3 linked regions of the Arabidopsis thaliana genome follow. The protein of the gene in region 1 interacts with the protein of each later gene in a pairwise test. Each region holds a gene or a part of one and is shown on either strand. Other genes may lie near its edges.

Evidence for each region. Proteins that work in one complex are often made in the same cells at the same time.
Region 2: the proteins of RR14 (region 1) and IND interact in binary tests that used the Arabidopsis thaliana proteins (3 or more experiments, as listed by UniProt).
Region 3: the proteins of RR14 (region 1) and RSZ21 interact in binary tests that used the Arabidopsis thaliana proteins (3 or more experiments, as listed by UniProt).

Annotation. Positions count from the first base shown.
Region 1 is NC_003071.7:331,026-335,254, reverse strand, and holds RR14 (response regulator 14), read right to left. Parts: upstream 2,354-4,229; 5' UTR 2,215-2,353; coding exon 1,866-2,214; intron 1,788-1,865; coding exon 1,383-1,787; intron 1,300-1,382; coding exon 1,223-1,299; intron 1,143-1,222; coding exon 741-1,142; 3' UTR 559-740; downstream 1-558. Other genes in the region: VIT1 (vacuolar iron transporter 1), read left to right, coding at 183-480; AT2G01755 (uncharacterized protein), read left to right, coding at 2,467-3,006; MAP70-3 (microtubule-associated proteins 70-3), read right to left, coding at 3,407-3,449, 3,553-3,746, 3,840-4,229. UniProt on the Arabidopsis thaliana protein: Transcriptional activator that binds specifically to the DNA sequence 5'-[AG]GATT-3'. Functions as a response regulator involved in His-to-Asp phosphorelay signal transduction system.
Region 2 is NC_003075.7:41,163-45,058, reverse strand, and holds IND (basic helix-loop-helix (bHLH) DNA-binding superfamily protein), read left to right. Parts: upstream 1-1,861; coding exon 1,862-2,458; 3' UTR 2,459-3,394; downstream 3,395-3,896. UniProt on the Arabidopsis thaliana protein: Transcription regulator required for seed dispersal. Involved in the differentiation of all three cell types required for fruit dehiscence. Acts as the key regulator in a network including SHP and ALC that controls specification of the valve margin.
Region 3 is NC_003070.9:8,426,755-8,431,398, reverse strand, and holds RSZ21 (RS-containing zinc finger protein 21), read left to right. Parts: upstream 1-1,913; 5' UTR 1,914-2,138; intron 2,139-2,157; exon of another isoform or gene 2,158-2,214; 5' UTR 2,215-2,234; coding exon 2,235-2,323; intron 2,324-2,395; coding exon 2,396-2,484; intron 2,485-2,580; coding exon 2,581-2,794; intron 2,795-2,999; coding exon 3,000-3,164; intron 3,165-3,301; coding exon 3,302-3,308; 3' UTR 3,309-4,142; downstream 4,143-4,644. Other genes in the region: AT1G23850 (uncharacterized protein), read left to right, coding at 4,354-4,644. UniProt on the Arabidopsis thaliana protein: Probably involved in intron recognition and spliceosome assembly.

The DNA of each region.
Region 1 (4,229 bases):
TTTGTTGCAACAAATAAAGTACGTGAATAGTAACAAACAGAAAACAACAAATTACGTGAATATAAAAACTTATCTTATTGATTTGGTTAAGTTTAACACTCTTTACCTATCACAAAATGTTTATATTCCTACTATAAGCATGTAACTTGTTATATAAGTGAGACTTTATTGTTTCGTTACAGGTTTGAGCTGGGATTAGAGAAGCCTGATCCAAAAAGAGCGTTACAAAGCGCGTTCACGATTGCAATCGCTTATGTTCTTGGCGGTTTTATACCGTTACTTCCCTACATGCTCATACCGCATGCCATGGATGCGGTAGTGGCGTCTGTGGTTATAACTCTGTTTGCGCTCTTCATATTTGGCTATGCAAAAGGGCATTTCACTGGAAGCAAGCCCCTCAGAAGTGCGTTTGAAACCGCCTTTATAGGAGCGATTGCTTCAGCTGCTGCTTTTTGTTTGGCTAAAGTTGTGCAACATTAGCAGTAACAAAACTAGTGTTGCGTTTGATGTTTTGTGTACTTTGAGACTTGTTTGTTGCATGTCTTGTGGTTATTATCAGGCTAAAACTTTTGGCAACCATAATAAAGTGAGAGATAACAATTCAAAATATTGGTTACATAATTACTTTCCTAAGCTAACATTGCAGACACACAAGTTTTCTTCTGACATTAATCCATTCCTGAAGATTTAAAAGAAACAGTTGCAGAGCCTTCTCTTCTTAAGCGTATCCATATTGGTCACTATCTTTGTCTTGAAGATCTTTCCAAGATCCAAGATTCTTCATTGACATTTGATCCATACCCTTGTCTGATTCTGTTGTTGTTAACGTCACCTCTCTGTCTGAAATTTGCTGAGGAAGATAGACCATGAACCGCCACAGAAACAGGACGGTTAGAAGCGGATGATACATCAACCGAGAAGTGTTCATTTTGAGATCTACCAAGATTGTCATTAGGAATCCAAACTCCAAAACTAGCAGAGTGATGATTGTCTATTGGTTGACCAAACAATGCAGCTAATGTCTGTGGATGTAATTGTCCTGAGGAAACCAGAGCTTGAATGTTTTCATATCTTTTGGTAGACTCAGAGTCATTACTCTGCGAAGCTTCACCGCTTAATCTCTTCAAATACAATCGGAACTTCTGCAAATGGTATTGATTCAGTCATAACCCTTATAGAGACCCTAATAAGAAGAAAGATTCAATCAATCAATCAAAGAAACCTGTAAATGACTAGCCACGTTTTCTCTGCTTAAACCAGGAACATTCATCAACTCGAGAATCCGCTTTGGTACAGCTTCTGAAACAATAAGAGAGATTCTTATAAGCACAAATTACTTTGAATTTCTTCTACAAGCAATAAGATAGTGTTTAGGATCATACTGTCAATTCCAAGTTTGTTTACGGCATTAACGAATTGTTGATGCAATTCAATAGACCAAACAACGCGTGACTTCTTCGAGTTTCCAGGATCAAGAAGAAGATCATCTTCATTATCATCTCTATCAACACTTCTCTTCTTCTTCTTCTTCTTATTCCTACATTTCATCAAACTTTCCTCTGAGCATTCACTAACCGAAACAACAACAGTCTCGAGGCTACCACTGTTCTTGTTATCCTCTAAAGCTTGAGAACTTCGAAGCTCTTTCTTCATCACACATTTCCTTCTAACAACATGTTGCCAAATGTTCTTAAGCTCTTCAGGACGAATAGGTTTGATTAGATAATCACAAGCTCCATGGTTGATTCCAGTCATGACTGTAGTTGTTCTTCCATCAACAGACATCACTAGAAACAGAGCAAATGTAAGAAACATTGATGCAAAGATTCAATCTTTAGAGACAAAACATAACAACAGAGTCTTACTAATGACAGGAAGATCCATTTCAAGAAGACCAACTTGTTGAAGAAGATTGTAACCATTCATACCAGGCATATGAACATCACTTAGCACCAAATCAAAACTGTCTTTTCTTTCTCTTAGAATGGTTAACGCAACATCAGCTTGTGAGCAAATTGTAACTACAAAGAGAAGATAAAACAAAAATGTTAAAACTTTCTTGAGAAAATCTATTAAAAGGTGGGAACTTTGATAAAGAATTAGACCTTGGTACATGAGACGGAGAAGCATTTTCTCGAGAATGAACAAGCATGAAGTATCATCGTCTACAACGAGTATTCTTAACCCACTAGGAAACTGATCGTTGATCGGCATTAAGCTTTGGTGTGAGTATTGAAAACCCTAGAGAACTGAGAAAGAGATTTTGGTTGGAGAAGAAAGAAGAAGAAATGATTGAAGACGTACAGTGTTGAGTAAGTAGCCACTGGTTTGAAGAGAGAGGCAACGAAAGCGACTGGTAATAGCTGTAGTGGCACTCTGTTGTAATTAATCCAATTGGTACTACCCTTATTTGTAAACATACACGAGTCCTTTAAAATCTTATCTATAGACAAAGTCACGGTCCTCATGCACTACAATATCAGAATGCTTATCACGCCGGCGAATTTATCCGGTGGCATAGCCGGATTATTCGTTTTCGGACAGAAAGATCAAATGACTAAAATACCCTCGCTCACAAACTCGTATAACTACCGGAAAAAACTTTTCACCGTCCCTCCAGTGGCGGAGAGAAGAAGAGCTTTGAAGATGTTCTGGTGCGGTGCTCGGAGAAGGGTGAGAGACGAGGGAGGTGGTGAAGATGAAGATGAAATGTATGGATACAACGAGGAAATGGCGATGTTGGAGATATATAGCCAGTCGTGTAGAGAAGAAGCGCTTATAGTGACGGCCATTGTCGACGATGAAGAAGTGGAAGTTGTAATCTTTAAAGGAGTGTCGTCGTGCTTGAGCGGAGAAACGGCGGTGGATCCGGCGAGGAGTGTGTTGCCGGAGAGAGCAGTCATTACAAAGATTGATAGAGTGAGAGGTCCTTTTGATCCTTCACAGATTCATTATATTCAAAGGGACATCTCTTTTCAAGCCTTCAAGGAGACCAGACTCAACTAATGTTAGTGAATGTTGTGTCTGGATCAATGAAACTAATGACAATTTCAATTTTTTCACTAATAACTCTCACCTCTGTTTCTGAACTAATTTCTTAAATCTATAACATACCCCAAAATGAGAAAAATGGACAAAGGTAAGATAGAGAGAGATACAATAAATCACACACTAAGCTCAAGTTAGTAGTTAAAACACAAACCTAACTCTTTTCTATATATGAGGAAAACAATAAACATCAGCCAAGAAATTAAAAATCAGTTTTTAACTTTGAAATCTTACTATGTTAAGAAGCACACAAACCTCCCATATTGGATTTCTATATTTGTATGCTTTTTGTCATTCCTTCAATCTATTAACCACTGAATTGAGATTCATATTTTGCTCGTGGAATCGACTTCTTTGATCACTGCGTGCTCCTCGTCATCCCCATTCGTCCTGAGCCTCTGCTAAAACAACAATGCAAAGCAAACGTTCAAGTGTTAAAGAAAACTAACCTAACCAACTTATAATCGTTACATTGGGTCATTATAATAAGAAAACATCAGGTACCTTCCAGAAAGTAACTGTGCAGTTGTTGAAGCTCCTTTTGAGTTAGTAGAGTGACGTCTCGTTCTACTATCTGATCCTTTGTTATCCACACGCATAGCTGAAACCTCTTTCTCCATTGCTGCTACTTCTCTTCGCATCTTCTTTGCTTCCACTTCCATCGCCTTTGTTAGTGTTTCAACCTTCTTGGCCAACATCTAAAAGCAAACACAAGCCCAAGTATTTTGATCAGAGAATATAAATAAATATAAGCAAACGTTTCTTGGAAAGGTGTAAAACTAATGACTAACCTCAATAGCTTCGTCTTTATCTCTAAGGCTTTGATCTTTATCATTAGCAGCTTTCCTTAAAGTTATCACCTCCTTTTGAAGCAAATCATGTAATACTCCTGGGACACTATCATTATTTGTCCCTGCTGCTTTCTCTGAATCTCCTTGTTTTGTTGAATTAGGTGACCCGCCTCCGCTTGTTCCTTCAGAAGATTGGTTCAATGGAAACTTCGATCTGGGTTCGTTTGTTAGTACTTTACTCCTATCTAAAGATCTACTGCCTCCGTCAAATGATCTGGATGTTCCTTTCGCATGCTTCAATATTGTGCTTGTACTAGCATTCAAAGATCTAAACTGAGAACTTGGTGACCTCTTGGAGAAAAATCCATTTGATGTCAGTTTCGGAATAAT
Region 2 (3,896 bases), on another chromosome or scaffold:
AGAGAGAAGAAAATTAGGTCAAAATAATGAGCACTAAAAATGGAGACATGTGTTGAGTAACTATTACAAGAGCGACTTATGCTTCCTTATGGCAATGATATCCAAACCAAAGTGCAACGCTCCTTTTTTGCCCTAATTTCGTAAAGTCTCTCTCCTTCTTCGTCCTTAGGAAAAACCCTAGAAATTTAATCCCTTGTTCTTGATCTTGCTTTTTGAGTAACCATGATTTTGACCACACACTATTTCTTCTATCTTTTGTGGTCTATAGGATTTTGCTTTATATGTGTTTCTTGTATTGCTCCGTACGTACGTATACGAATTTAAATGGTTATAACAAGGTTTATATAAACTAGCACAAATGAGTCCATGAAATTTGTTAGCGAAAAAGGTAGAAATATATTGAGTCTTTAAACGGCAATATATATAATTTTGCTGCAAAACTTAGCTTTAATCATGATCTAATGATATTTTCTTTAATTTCCTTTGCCAAATTAATCACATGCACGGATTTTTGGCAAGTTATGTGTCGAATTCTTCCATTCACACAACACTAAACTTAATTAGAACTCTAGGAAATATTTTAAAATGACAACTTTATCGAAAAAAATTTAGTTATGAAAACAATTCCAGAATTAAACATGAGCTATATAATTTAAGATAAAATGAAGTAATATTGATATGTATGTAATAACATATCTGATTGCGGTAAAAAAAAACATATCTGATTAAATTGTTCATGCAGGCCCATGTCACTATGATGTCATCACGTTTTTATTTTCACAATAACTAATATATATTCAAAAAAATAGTTTTGTCAGATTAAATTTTTTTTGGTGGTCAGCTTTCTCCAACCTACTAAACTAGTTTGGAATGTTCTCTTCTTTATTTTTCTTTTTCTTGATTTCTTATGTTTTTTATTTATGGAATTTTAAGACGGATTGTTTAGGTCGTTTCTCTCTTTTCTTGTTTTCTAAAGTTACTTTTGTAAACTCATCTCCTCCCAATTAGACAGTCAATCATATAGTTATCTTTTAATATATGTCTAGTTGATAAAAAAAATGAAAAAATACTGGTGGTAGTTCTACTAATGTTTGTGTAAAAAATCTGATATTATGAATCTAATCAATTTCTTTGATCGTATAATGTGGGTTAAATTTAGTAATTTTTTACATAAATAAGAACTGTAATGTTGATGTATATTGGGGAATCAGTATATTAGCTTGGGTAACTATACTTCTGGAAATACTTGAAGATTTAACTATTTGCAAAATTATAATTTAGTCCCGAAAAATACAGACGACGGGACACGACAACATATAAGCAGGTTTGAATCTTGGAAAATTTTGTATACATAACCTATATAAATACTAATGTTCTGGTTGGGTTCAAAAGCCTTTTCAAAAGTTCCATTTTTTAAATTCAAGGACATTTTACATAGGAAATAAGTTGAGTCATAAAAAATAATGGTTATTTTGTAAGGTTTTTTTTTTGATTAAAACGCACATATTAAGAAGTTAGTTTTTTTTCACTACCAAATATCAATTAATTTAAAACCATGCAACCATTCATAAAACAATACTATTAAAGAATATAAATAATCACAAAATATTAAATACACTTAAAATTTACATATAAATTTACAAAACATCTAATTAATTGAAACAGAAAGGAAAAGGTAAAATATATCATAAAATGAGACATATATCCTATAAAAAAAAAATGAGGCATATGAAGTAAATAATAAGAGACATGCATGTAAGCATTCGGTTAATTAATCGAGTCAAAGATATATATCAGTAAATACATATGTGTATATTTCTGGAAAAAGAATATATATATTGAGAAATAAGAAAAGATGAAAATGGAAAATGGTATGTATAAAAAGAAAGGAGTGTGCGACTCTTGTGTCTCGTCCAAAAGCAGATCCAACCACAGCCCCAAAAGAAGCATGATGGAGCCTCAGCCTCACCATCTCCTCATGGATTGGAACAAAGCTAATGATCTTCTCACACAAGAACACGCAGCTTTTCTCAATGATCCTCACCATCTCATGTTAGATCCACCTCCCGAAACCCTAATTCACTTGGACGAAGACGAAGAGTACGATGAAGACATGGATGCGATGAAGGAGATGCAGTACATGATCGCCGTCATGCAGCCCGTAGACATCGACCCTGCCACGGTCCCTAAGCCGAACCGCCGTAACGTAAGGATAAGCGACGATCCTCAGACGGTGGTTGCTCGTCGGCGTCGGGAAAGGATCAGCGAGAAGATCCGAATTCTCAAGAGGATCGTGCCTGGTGGTGCGAAGATGGACACAGCTTCCATGCTCGACGAAGCCATACGTTACACCAAGTTCTTGAAACGGCAGGTGAGGATTCTTCAGCCTCACTCTCAGATTGGAGCTCCTATGGCTAACCCCTCTTACCTTTGTTATTACCACAACTCCCAACCCTGATGAACTACACAGAAGCTCGCTAGCTAGACATTTGGTGTCATCCTCTCAACCTTTTTCATGTTGATATATTATATATAGATGCATAAAGATTCGATCCAAGATTGTATGGGTGTTTTAATATTATTATTCTAAGATATATGATGTACAATTGTGTACCAAGTTTCTTTATCTTGATATCATATGCATAAATAATTGGTGAATAAAAAGAAGATATTGATTGTAAACAAAAAAAAGAAGATATTGATTGTTAATTAGGGTTTGATCATTCTGTATGAAAGCTTTGGCCTGCAAATTAATTTTCGATATATATATATATATATGGAGAATATATATCAAATACTTTTTTAATTTGACTATAATTTGTATCAATTATCTGAATCTGATGAGTGTAGGTTATATATGGATTAGCAAAAAAGAAAACAACCATTATTACGCACCTACATTAAAAATCATCCACCAAAGAAGAAACCATCCTCAAGAGGGTTCCCATATTGGAGAATAATGAAAAATTTAAGAAGAAAAGGGTCGAGATTTCGACGGACAAGCATTCTGATTATTACAAACATATTTTAGAGAAATTTAGAAAGAAAATTAAACTAAAAATTAAAAAGAAGCAAACTGAGATAACTCTCTGTCTCAATGGAACGCCGGCCAGAAGTGATCATCGTGATTTTGGTTACCATCTTGATAAGGTCAATCGAGGAGTGTATCCGTTTCAAACACCACACGTCCACTATATTTCGCCAAGTTAAATTGAAAGGAAGATGAACAATCAAGAGATGTGGTAGTTATTTTGAATTAAGCATATCCAAAAAGACCCTAGGCGAAGCTGAGAGATCGCAAGTTCGAGTGACACTTGGAACGAAACTAATATTACATGATGTGGTTTCGGGCCTAAAGGAATTACGGGCTTCGGCCCAGAACCTCCTGATATTCAAAAAAAAAAAAAAAAAAGATGTTTATAATAATGATCTTTGAAATTAAACCTCTACATTTATCATAATATTCCTAAATAGTACGTAAATAAAAAACATGCAACCCATGCATATCCAGTCTTAAGTTTATACATATAGATAAATCTCAAACCATACAAATACCATTGTTCTTGTGATTTTTTACTTCCATTTCCTTTTTCCTCCAACGGTGTCATATAAAGCTAACAAATAACTCGTGATTAAACGGACATTTCCAATATGGGCTTTTGGGCCCATAGTGATATGGGTCTCCTTCCGATATCTTTGACTGCGCGTGCCTCCAAAGTTGCTGTAGAGAACAGAAAGAGGCCTTCGATCCTGGCTTTGTCCAGACAAAAGCTGCCTCATCTACCTGGAACTTCGGTCGAGGTAGTGGTGAAGGGGGGATATGTAATCTCAGACAACTCCACAGGTGACAAAACTAGACGTAATCCTAATGGGGACAGGGTCGGAGCTAGAGATAG
Region 3 (4,644 bases), on another chromosome or scaffold:
CAAGTCGTTTCATGTTAACAAAAAAAATACCGACTAGTCACATCTCTACAAAGTGCAGGTAACGTTTTAAGAAATAATTATCATAATCCGTTGGCAAAAAAAAAAAAAAAAAGACTAAAACAATTTAATGTATTGGTCAAAAAACAAAACTTCTACACACGATCTAAGACTATATCCATATTGATAAGATGAATTGAATCGATATATATTCTTACTTTAACAAAAAAGAAAGATCATTAGAGTTATCTTGTCTTACTAAAAGTCTTAGATAAAGACATAAAAATGGAACAAACATCATTGGGAATGCAACATGCATGTACATATTACATATAGTAAATATAATATAGTTAAAAGCGAAGTCATTATTATATGACTAAACTAAGATAATTAAAACATGTAAGCACACATTATCGGGAATGTATTGATATTAAAAGGGCACCACGTAGGTCAGGGTGGCCTCTCAAACCCCCCAAGGGACAAAGCAGCATTAGGATTGTCACTAAAGTACTAACCATGTGTTATTTTACGATATTATCCCCATTTGGTGTTAATGGTTCCAAGTGTCAATGTAAATAACGTTGACATATATAAGCCGTGTTTTGTTTTCACGTTGTTTAGGAAGCCAACGAGGATTGGGTAATTGGATCCGAATCAGATTGACACTTTCTTCTTCTTTACTTTTCTTGCTCTTCCACTTGACAATACCAATTTAGGGCTTGGCTGGATACAAATGTTTTTATCCTTCTTCAACCCGTTATCCGTTTTACTAGACTTAAAAAAAAAAGAATAGTATGTGTAAATATGATACATGATATCATGCATTTGTTAACTACGATAAAAAAAATCGAATATCTATATTGTCCATTTTGCAGATATCCCTTTTAAATATCTAACTAAATATCTGTAAATGTGAGGTTTAAAATTGAAATCCGTATATTTTTATTGATATGCACAACGATAGTTACAATAAGTAACATGACACTAATAATCACTCCCCAAAATTTTTATACAATTAGATATAATTTTAAATACTAATATTCTATAAATATTTCACAATTTTAGAAATTTTGATACTAACCAATTAATGTTAGCTTTGGATAACGAATGAAGTTATGGCCATCTTATTTCTTCTGAGCCATCTATTTAGCCATAGCCATCCAAAAATTAAAGAGTATCTTATTCCTCCCATGTCCAGCTTAAGGGACAAGCCAGGGAATAGCGACACGTGTAAATTGAATGTCGATTTTGTAAAAGGAGGTAAGTGGGGTCTACACAGTGGCTGCAAATAAACGAATCATAACTAAACACGTGTCAAAGACACAGTCTTAGAGGAGTCGATGTAAGTGGGACCCAGCATGACTTATCTTGGTTCAGAATGTTTTCCCCAATGGATAAGTGTCTTTTTGTTTTTGGTGGGATGATGAAACCTTTTCTATTTACGTCGACGCAATTTTAAACAATGAGACTCTTTTTTTTTTGTGTGTGTGCAATCGTTTAGAGACTTGTTCACATGAATTAGGTGCCCAATCATGTGTAAATTGGTAAGGTATATGTAAAACTAACAATTGTTACACTTGCCAACTCCAAACTTAGATTTAATCAGCCTACTATATTTTGAAAATTTAAGAAGATACAAGTACTGATGCAAAAGTTGAAAACCAAAACCAACTCATATGGGCCATTAAGCAACTGAAACTTGCTCATATTTTTAAAATTTTAACCAAAAGGTTATGGGTTTTAGGCCCATTAGTTTTTTTCAGACTGAGAATCACGTCAAGTTACAGTAATTAGACATCAAACTCTAGAAACATGTTTGCATAACTTTTGTTGTCAAAGATGTTTTGCATAGTTTCAAAATCCGCTTTCACCTCAATTCTCTTTTTACGTTAACTAATCGACTATGGGAGACTAGTCTTACATTTTGGTCGCTAAAACTTTGTTTATGAATATATGGATTACCGAAAAATAAGGGACCATGAAATAACTAATAAATGACCAAATAATATATGATGTTAATTTTTTTTTACTTTTCAGTTTTCATATAATAATGAAATAACTTGGTTACTCTCTTTCCTCGCCGTAGTCTGAGTCTGAACCCTAAAACATCCCGCTTCGCTGCTCAGGACCAAGAATCTCAGGTACCTTGTTAACTACTCGCTGTAACTATTATCGATATCCATATTTCTTCACAAAATTCGATTCTCTTTCGTTCAGATTCAACTGATCTTTGCAACATGACGAGGGTTTATGTCGGGAATTTGGACCCACGCGTCACCGAAAGAGAACTCGAAGACGAATTCAAGGCCTTCGGTGTTCTTCGCAAGTAAGTCCTATCTCTGTACTCAATTTTGTTTCAAGCCATACGAATTATGACTCTGAATCTTAAAAATCGCAGTGTCTGGGTAGCTCGTAGACCTCCTGGCTACGCATTCCTCGAGTTCGATGACGAAAGAGATGCTTTGGATGCAATCAGCGCATTGGATCGTTAGTGTTCTTCTCATTAGACCTCTTAGTTACCATGTAATGTTTGTATTATTGTTTGGTCATTGAAAAGTTTTACTCTTGTGGCGTATACTTCAGGAAAGAATGGGTGGCGTGTGGAGCTTTCTCATAAAGATAAAGGAGGTCGTGGAGGTGGTGGTGGTCGTCGTGGAGGTATTGAGGATTCCAAGTGCTATGAGTGTGGTGAGCTTGGACATTTTGCTCGCGAGTGTCGCCGTGGTCGAGGCTCTGTGAGGCGTAGAAGCCCTAGTCCCCGTCGTCGTAGGAGTCCAGATTATGGGTATGCTCGCAGGTAACGATCCAACGGAAACATTCTTATTGAGCTGCTTAGATGAGATAGTATGTCATTAGTATGTCCATTGTGTTAACATATCCATTGAAATTGCACTTTGTAATCATGTATAGGGGCTGAGTTGTTAATGTTGATAGTACCTTTCTTGATGTTATAATCGCTTTGTGACATACATTTTTGTTCCTGTGGAATTGATTTTGTTCAGGAGTATAAGCCCGCGTGGAAGAAGATCTCCTCCAAGGCGTCGCAGTGTTACTCCACCTCGCCGTGGGAGGAGCTACAGCAGATCCCCTCCTTATCGTGGTTCACGCCGTGATTCTCCTCGCCGCAGAGACTCGCCCTATGGTCGACGTTCGCCATATGCCAATGGGTAAAAGTTCTTTTCTCTTCTTGGATTTAGGTTTACTTTCTCAATCTGCATGACTCAACTTCAGCATTGTCTATGTAGATGTGAATAACATTTGAAGTATTTTGATATAAGGTATATATTCGTTTGCGTTTCTGCAGGGTGTGAAACTGGACCCTGAAGAGAAAGAAGCTATTACTAAGCTATGATGCTATATCTACTCTGTGGCGCCTTTTAGGATAGATCTTTATATCTGCTATTATGGTATTAGCTCTTCTAGGTTTGGTTGTTGAGCATGGACATGTCATGGTATGTTCGAGTTTTATTAGACAATTGGATTTGGTGAGTTCTCCTTCATGCTGTTTTCCAACAGCCGTCTTGACTTATTCTCTATAACACGCACTGGCCTGCTGTCTTCACACAGCGTCCTTGAACCCCTACACTTGAGGTCGTTCTTTCGTATCCATAAATGTTTTGTCTCTTGTTGAATGCACTTTCCTTATTATATAGACATATCTAAAAAGCTCAACTGTTTCCACTCTTTTTCCCTTGTGAGGTATGATTTATCGGGGATCTCTTGGCAGCACAGCTGCATCTTACTCTCCCCACAACTTAGTTTTATCATGAATCTGCATCCTCAACTCGACCAACATCAGCTAGAATTTGCTTGTTACATTGTGTGACTTTTAGATTGCCCTGCTCTTTACTCACCACTCCTACCCCAAGTCTGCAACCAAGCTTCTATTGAGAAAGACGAATCTGTTTCTTCACCCCGTCCTCTTCCTAGCTCTCGGCTGCTATATCACCACTTGGTTTCTCTACTCACTTTTGTTTTTCGGTCAACTTTGTTACACATCTGTTGGTGGATCACACACTTACATTAAATTAAACCCATTTGTGGATGCTTCTTTTTTATATTGCTTGTGAAAAACGTGTTAGCTTAGTCTTTTGTGTTCATGATTTGGTTTCCCACTTATGCTTTTCTTTTCCCAATTAATCTCGACTTTTAATCTGTTCTTCTTCGGCCGCCACATGTTTTCATTTTAATACTTTTCTAAATTTGGTTTTGAGGCAATTTGGTTCAGATTTGTTGGTATACCAATTCTTACGTCAACGTCAATGAAGAAACGACTCCATATTTACGAATAAAAAACTGTAGTAGATCTGTACTCTCCCTTTTTCTTTGTAGAGAAGAAGAGAACTGTGAAAGAAGATGAAGATTGAGGAGGATCTAGGTTTCATCAACATACTCAAACGAGCAACAAAGCTTCTATGTGGTAACATCAATCTTGTTCTCTTCCTCTTCCTTTGCTCTCTCCCCCTCTTTTGTTTCTTGATCTTCTTCGAGCTTTCACTCCAAACCACTGTCTCACTCGCTTCTCAATACCTCGTTCGACAACTCACTAATTGGGATTACTACTACGTTCCTCAAGATGCTTCCGTCTTGGAGAATCTGATTCCATTGCTTATCCAGACATTTCTACTCTACTTGTTCCCGTACGGC